Linked DNA regions of Tribolium castaneum. The protein of the gene in region 2 interacts with the protein of the main gene of each other region in a pairwise test. Links are inferred from orthologs where the notes say so. Each region holds a gene or a part of one and is shown on either strand. Other genes may lie near its edges. The genes, in order: peptidyl-prolyl cis-trans isomerase-like 3 and Slu7.

What was found.
Region 1: the proteins of Slu7 (region 2) and peptidyl-prolyl cis-trans isomerase-like 3 interact in binary tests that used the Homo sapiens proteins (3 or more experiments, as listed by UniProt). The link is inferred for Tribolium castaneum from reciprocal best matches to the Homo sapiens genes SLU7 and PPIL3.

Annotation. Positions count from the first base shown.
Region 1 is NC_087397.1:1,375,195-1,378,257, forward strand, and holds peptidyl-prolyl cis-trans isomerase-like 3, read right to left. Parts: upstream 1,540-3,063; 5' UTR 1,413-1,539; coding exon 1,410-1,412; intron 1,363-1,409; coding exon 1,126-1,362; intron 1,081-1,125; coding exon 962-1,080; exon of another isoform or gene 914-961; coding exon 784-913; 3' UTR 774-783; downstream 1-773. Other genes in the region: tubulin alpha-1 chain, read left to right, coding at 1-67, 112-468, 513-773; transmembrane protein 230, read right to left, coding at 1,967-2,337, 2,411-2,516. UniProt on the Homo sapiens protein: PPIases accelerate the folding of proteins. It catalyzes the cis-trans isomerization of proline imidic peptide bonds in oligopeptides. May be involved in pre-mRNA splicing.
Region 2 is NC_087397.1:2,833,388-2,837,408, reverse strand, and holds Slu7 (pre-mRNA-splicing factor Slu7), read right to left. Parts: upstream 2,456-4,021; 5' UTR 2,377-2,455; coding exon 2,059-2,376; intron 2,012-2,058; coding exon 1,082-2,011; intron 1,019-1,081; coding exon 611-1,018; 3' UTR 566-610; downstream 1-565. Other genes in the region: cytosol aminopeptidase, read left to right, coding at 2,774-2,893, 2,943-3,052, 3,104-3,367, 3,422-4,021. UniProt on the Homo sapiens protein: Required for pre-mRNA splicing as component of the spliceosome. Participates in the second catalytic step of pre-mRNA splicing, when the free hydroxyl group of exon I attacks the 3'-splice site to generate spliced mRNA and the excised lariat intron.

The DNA.
Region 1 (3,063 bases), about 1.5 Mb from region 2:
TATTTTAGCCCGCAATTTAGACGTCCCTAGACCCACTTACACAAACTTAAACCGGCTTTTGGGCCAAGTAATGATCAAACCAAAGAAACAATCGTTTAAATGATTCAACAGGTGGTGTCCGCAGTCACAGCCTCGCTCCGCTTCGAGGGCGCTGTAAACGTCGACTTGGTCGAGTTCCAAACAAATCTAGTGCCCTACCCCCGAATTCACTTCCCTTTAATCACCTACGCCCCCTTTGTCCCAGCAACGAAGGCCTACCACGAGCAATTATCAGTTGCCCAATTAACAAACTCCTGCTTCGAGCCGGCCAATCAAATGGTGAAATGCGACCCCAGAAATGGCAAATACATGTCGTGTTGTCTCTTATACCGTGGCGATGTGACACCGACTGATGTGAACAACGCTATTACGAATATCAAACAAAAGCGGAGTATCATGTTTGTGGATTGGTCGCCCACAGGATTCAAAGTAATTTCTTCTGGTGGGTGATCGAGTCTGAGATAATTTTTCAGGTTGGTATTAATTATCAACCGCCGACTACGGTCCCTGGAGGCGACCTGGCCCGCGTACAAAGGGCGGTCACCATGCTGTCCAACACCACAGCCATAAAAGAGACCTGGCAGAGAATTCTGCATAAATATAACCTGATGTATGCCAAACGGTCGTTTGTGCACCATTATGTCGGTGAAGGGATGGAGGAAAGCGAATTTCAGGATGCTAGGGAGGATCTTACTGCCCTAGTGCTGGACTATAAGGAAGTTGATAGTGACTGATACCTATTTATTATCCTGAGGCTAATGGATTTGCATGGATTGTTATACTGTTTATCCTTATATCATTAACCGGTCTGTAGTTCTTTGGATTCACTGGCACTTTTTCCAACTCATCGAGCGTCTCAAACCCGTCTATAACCCTAAACAAGTGTCCTGTACTTACAAATGGAGATAATAAAATTACTCACTTTCCGAAAATTGTGTACTTTAAATCCAAGTGTGGGTGGGCCCCATACGTGATAAAAAACTGACTACCGTTCGTATTGGGGCCGTTATTGGCCATTGAGACTATCCCCCGAGCCGTGTGCTACAAAATCCAGTTAAAACAAACCCAAATAATTGAAAAAAAAACCTTCAACTGTTCCTTAAACTCATCCTCAAACTTCCGCTCCCAAATCGAAGTCCCCCCTTTCCCAGTCCCCGTGGGATCGCCGGTTTGGACAATAAACCCCTTAATGTTCCGATGGAACAAATTCCCCGTGTAATAATCGCTCGCACATAAGGCCAAAAAGTTCTCACAAGTTTTTGGGCAAGATTCGCAAAATAGCTCCATTTTTATGTTGCCCAAGTCGGTGTGAAGCGTAACGGACTGGAAAAACCCACTGCGGGCTGATAATTTGCGAAAATTTAACTTACCATTGCCAAAATTCAAATAAATTGCAAAAAAAACACAACACATAACCTTATTTTTTGTGGCAAACGCGGGCGGGCAGGCAACCAGTAAAACACCGCATTTTTTTTTTAATTATTAAATTTTGCGTAATAATTGAGTTATTGCTAAGTAAACGCTTAGGAAATCTAAATTTTTGGTCATTATTGACCAAATTTGGTGATTTTCTTTGTTCAAATTTAATAAAAACCAAAAAAAGCTTAGTTGTTGGTCAAAAAATAATTATTTTGGCAGGTTCTGAGGATTTAAACACGTTTTAAAAGAGTAATTGGATTAGCTAAGGGTTAAATAACGACACTGTTGGTAAACAGATAAACATTTATTCCAAATATTTAAGTAATGTATTCGTTAACAAAAAAAATCACAAAGTATACAGTGATCAAGGGCACATACATTAATTAATTAACGACAAGAGAAGGCACATTAATCGCAAAGCTGATTGCTTAGTCCTTATCTAAAAATTAACTCAGGTACACGAATCTATTCTCTCAATACTGTTCTCCCTACAATTAGAAAAGCCCCCCTAATCAAACTCGGGGATGTCGTCAAAAGAGTAGCCAGGCACTTGCTTGTAGGCATAGTAGGCGATGCGTACATGGTAGGCCCCCGGGATGAACATCAGCAGCCCCAGGATGATCATTGGCCACATTCTGTCTGAATAGTTCAGGATAATGTGCCCACTGACCACCAGCGACCCAAAAATGAGCAAAAACGTGCCCACGACTAGCAACATAGTGGCTAAGCAAATGGCCTTCCATGGTACTTTCTGGGCAGGTGTAATGAACTGTGCATCAATAAAGCCATTGTCCTTATCAGCAGGTGCTAGCTTTGTGTAATCAACGTGGTCGTAATCGCGACCCCGCCTTCTGGACATTTTAAGGTCGTCCAAATATTCTGCAAAGAAAGAGTGTTGATTTTTAGTGTATTTACCCTCTGATAAGGCGAATTATAGGGAAGTTGAGTTAACCTGTAATGGAATGTAAACTCATGGTCGGTAATAGAGAAATCTGACTGGTACTTGTACGACCATTATCGAATTCGGTCGTCAGGGGGCTTAGAGATTTAAAATTCATGACGGGGATCAATAATGAACACTCCCTTTATTTAATTAATCTAAAATAATAGAAAGGGGTTTAGCTGGTGCTAACGACGTACCTTTAACATACATCCAAAACATTTGCCCCTTTTTGCGCCCCAAACTGTCTTTTTTATTTTTTTTTGGGTGCTATTTTGTTGCGTTTGGACTCACTATGCGTTCTCCTTGAAATTTTAAAATTAACACTCGATTTAGACAAATTTGGGGCGAAATTACTCAACTGCACGTAACAACAAAAATTGCCGCCTGACACGTTATTTTAGAAGTTTCATTTTACATAATCAATAAACTCGGACAGAGAAACAGGGGTGTATTGGGGAGAAAGCTATTTTGAGCGCCTTTAACTTCGCCATTTAAGTATTTTTGTAACATTTTGTAAGATTTTGCCTTAATTTTTAAGATAAAAGGCATGCATGTAGAAAACAATTTTTTTTTTAAATCGACCAACAAACTTTTACCCAATGAGAATTGTAGAAAAATTTTGCAAATAATGAAATAATAATAAAAAAACTGATTTTGTCGAT
Region 2 (4,021 bases):
TTTACGACGTAAAAAACGCTAAAATAATCGCAGAGTTCCAGCAATACGTAATGCCAGTCGAGAATCCCAAATTGAGCGACTTTTGTACCGAGCTCACAGGTAAAAAACATTGTGCCCCAAGCCCCACTGATGATTTTTTACAGGAATACAGCAACACCAAGTTGATAACGGGGTCCCCCTTCAAGCTTGTTTGCTTCTGTTTTCGCGTTGGGTTGCCGAAAAAATGAGATTATATGACATGGATTTCCCAAACGGCGAAAGTCAGGCGGCAAAAACGTGCGCTTTTGCCACTTGGTCGGACTGGGATTTGGGGACCTGTCTCCGAAAGGAGTGCATCCGGAAGAATATTAGAATTGAGAAAATGTACCGCAAATGGATTGATATTAGAGCACTGTTCAAGCGCTACATCAGACGCCCGTTTATTGGACTTTCTGGCGCTTTGGCCGAACTAGGACTGACTTTTGAAGGGACTGAACATTGCGGATTGCATGATGCCAGGAATACGGCAAGACTTGTCGGGAAAATGGTCGATAAGGGGGTCGTACTCCAATTAACACGACGCTAATTTTTTATTTTCATTGTATTATTACAAATAAATATATTCTTGTTATTACATAAATTGATTCATTGGGTCTTCCTCTCGCCTCCTCTTCAAATAGTAAGCTTCAATCTCCTCCTCTGAGGGCTTCTTCACTTCGTACATGCTGTTGTAAGGACGCTTCCTCTCGTCTATTGACAGTAAACTCTCGGCTCGCTTTTGGTGCTCTTCTTCCGCTTTGAGGGCCTCTTTTAACTTGTCCTTCTCTTCTTTTTGTTTCAGTTTTTTCTTCTCTTTGTTTTTCTTTCTCTTGTTCTTCTTTTTCTTGTTTTTCTCGGACTTGTGTTTCGCTTCTGTGTCGGAACTCGACTCGGATGATGAACTCTCACTTGATTCTTTTTCTTCCTCTGGTTCAGGTACAACTTCTGGTGGTTTGTTGGCCTCCTGGTTACGGCCAGCTTCTCCCAAACAATACGAATTCTGTTAAAAAAAATAACGAAAATATGGTTTAAACACTATTTAATCCAAAATAAAAATACAAACCTTGACAAACGAGTGGCAACACTTGTAGCCCCATTGCCCCCCTCGCCAGAACGACCCCCAAACCGAAGTGTGATTATTAATATAGACATCCTCCTCATATTTTGACTTGATGACTTCCTTCTCCTGCCCTTTTATAATTTTACCGGAGCGTGAATACTCCACGTAATCTTCAGTCTGTGCCAAAAGTAGCGACTTCGGGGGCGCCTCCAGATGCTCCTCCCCTCCGTACTTCTCCAAAATACTCCCTTGAACCTTTGACTTGAACTGTTCCTTCTTCTTCTCATACTCCTTTTGGAGCAACTCCAACTTGGTGGGTTCCGCCAACAAGTGAACATCAACTCCTCTCTCATACGCCTCCCACGCAAACAACTGTGCGGACGCATGTTTAGTCGTATCGCCGGTAAATTTCACAAAATTCTCCCCCGCGTAATTATCATCCTTATTCGGGTTCGGATTTTCCCTCATTGAGCGCGTTTTCGGGTCGTAATACGCCGAATTCGGGTCCAAATTTCGCAAATACTTGGCCGTATCTTCCCGAATTCGCAAATTCCTGACTGTGATCCGCTGCTTGCTGTCGACTTTGGTCCCCGGCATGTCCACCTCGTCCACGTATTTGTCCTCATCCAACTCCTCGTCACTTTCATTATTTGCGTTGAGTTTATCGGCTTTTAACTGCCGCTTCGCTTCTTCAACTTTTTGGAACTCCTCTATCACTGCCTTGTGCTCGGACGGGTCGTAACCGCTCCACCTGTCCCGTTTCCCGTCGTAACTCAAATTTAATTTTTTCTGGATGAACTCATCCGCGGCTATTTTCGCCCCCGAGAATTTGGCCCCCACTTTGCGGGGCCGCTCCATGCAGTCCTTGCGCTTGTGGGTCATGGCACCGCAATTCTCGCAAGCGCCTTTGCGGAATTTCGTCACAACTTTGGACTAAATAAAAAATAAATATAATGGCATAAGAGGTGCAGCTAACTTACCGTGTCGACCCCTCGCTTGTACCACTCGTCCAACTTGGAGAAATCCTCCTGTTTGTCGTCTTGGGGCCTCTGGTGCTTGAGGGTGGGGCCCGAGGTGCCATAGTACCACGGGGCTGTGGCAATGTATTGCGGGATGTGGGGGTTTATGTCTTTTCCCTCCTCGTCCACAGCCGCAGGGGCTGTGCCCGCCTTACGCGCCTCTTCGAGCTCCTTGGCTTTCCGCCAGTCTTCACGCGATTTTTTCTTAGGCTCATCCTCAAACTCGCTTTTTGATTTTAAGATTTGCGACACCGAAAGGCCCTGCGTACTGCTGGCCATAATTAAACGCAATATTTACACATACAACTAAGAGTGAGGTTAAATACTTGACAGTTATCACTTGTCAAGGCCAGATCGTGTTATATAGAGGGATTCCAAAAAATTCCAAATTTTGATTTTTTTCAATATTACGAAAATTCGTCCAAAGTTAATAATTAACAGTAGTTTGCTCATTTTGCCGTTCATCATCGTAAATTTGCTATTTAATAAATGCGGGAGAATAAAAATAATGTGTTATGAAGAAGGCGGCGGTTGTTATGGCGTTAAATTTGATTAAAATCAAGCGAACTGTGTGAAAAAAATTCAAGTGAAGGCCCGTAACCAATAAATAAGAAAAATATTATTTGTCTTTCCGATCTAAATTATTCTTGTAAAATGTATATATTTTAAATGAACAATGTCGATTCCAACAGTTATAAGACAAATAAATTGGGTAAGGCCTCGAGTACTGAACGTTTTAAGACCTCGGAATTTCTGTTCCGGTGAGCCAGCGGCGTCTTCATCAGGCGAAGAAAAGGTAGGTCCTTCCCTGTCACTCGGCCCCCTTTAACCCCCCACCTTTGCAGAAAGGCATAATTTTAGGCGTATACGAGTCTGAAAATGAATTGGTATTGACGAAGGCTGCACAAAAATTCAACGACCATGTAGGAGGAAAATTACTGGATTTGGTAAAAAAGTGAGTAGAATGAAACGAATGTGGACCGAGTGATTGAATAACGATGTTTAGAGCCGGAAAGACTGTAAAACGGGGTAGTACAAGGATCTTCAACAACGTCGACCGGGAATTCTGGGCCGTGGCCGTGGTGGGCTTGGGCCCCGAGAAGGCGGGCTACAACGAGATGGAAGCTATCGACGAGGGTATGGAGAACGTCCGCGTGGCCGCCGGAATTGGGGCGCAAGTCCTCCGGAAGCAGGGCGTGGACCGGATCATGGTCGAAGGCATGGGATTCCCGGAGCAAGCGGCCGAAGGGAGCGCCCTCGCCCTTTGGAGGTGCGCTTTGTTTTGACATTTCCTGACCTAGCAACCATGGCCCTCTTTCTCTAGGTACCAGGAGAACAAAATGCGCGAGAACCAGAAGAAGACCCCCACGCTGGAGCTGTTCGACGATCCCGACGGAGAGAGCTTCCAGCGCGGGCTCTTCAAGGCGGAGTCGCAGAACTTGGCCCGGCGCTTGTCCGACACCCCCGCCAACCAAATGACCCCTCTGCATTTCGCCCAGGAAACTGTCAACGAGCTGTGCCCGTGCGGCATCAAGGTGCAAGTCCACGACAAGGACTGGATTGAGCAGAAGAAGTTCAGCGCGTTCCTGACGGTGGCACGAGGCTCGTGCGAGCCGCCGGTCGTGTTGGAGATCTCGTACTGCGGCGGTCCCAACGACCAGAAGCCGATCCTGTTCTGCGGGAAGGGCATCACGTTTGACAGCGGTGGTCTCTGTTTGAAGAAATGCAAGGGGATGGATGTGTACAAGGCGGATATGTGCGGAGCGGCGGCGATTATTTCGGCCATTCGCGCCGCCTCCGCGTTGAGTCTCCCGCTGAATATCGAGGCGGTGATTCCCCTGTGTGAGAATATGCCGAGTGGCATGGCCATGAAGTGTGGCGACATCGTGATGGGCATGAACGGCAAGAGCATCATGATTACGGA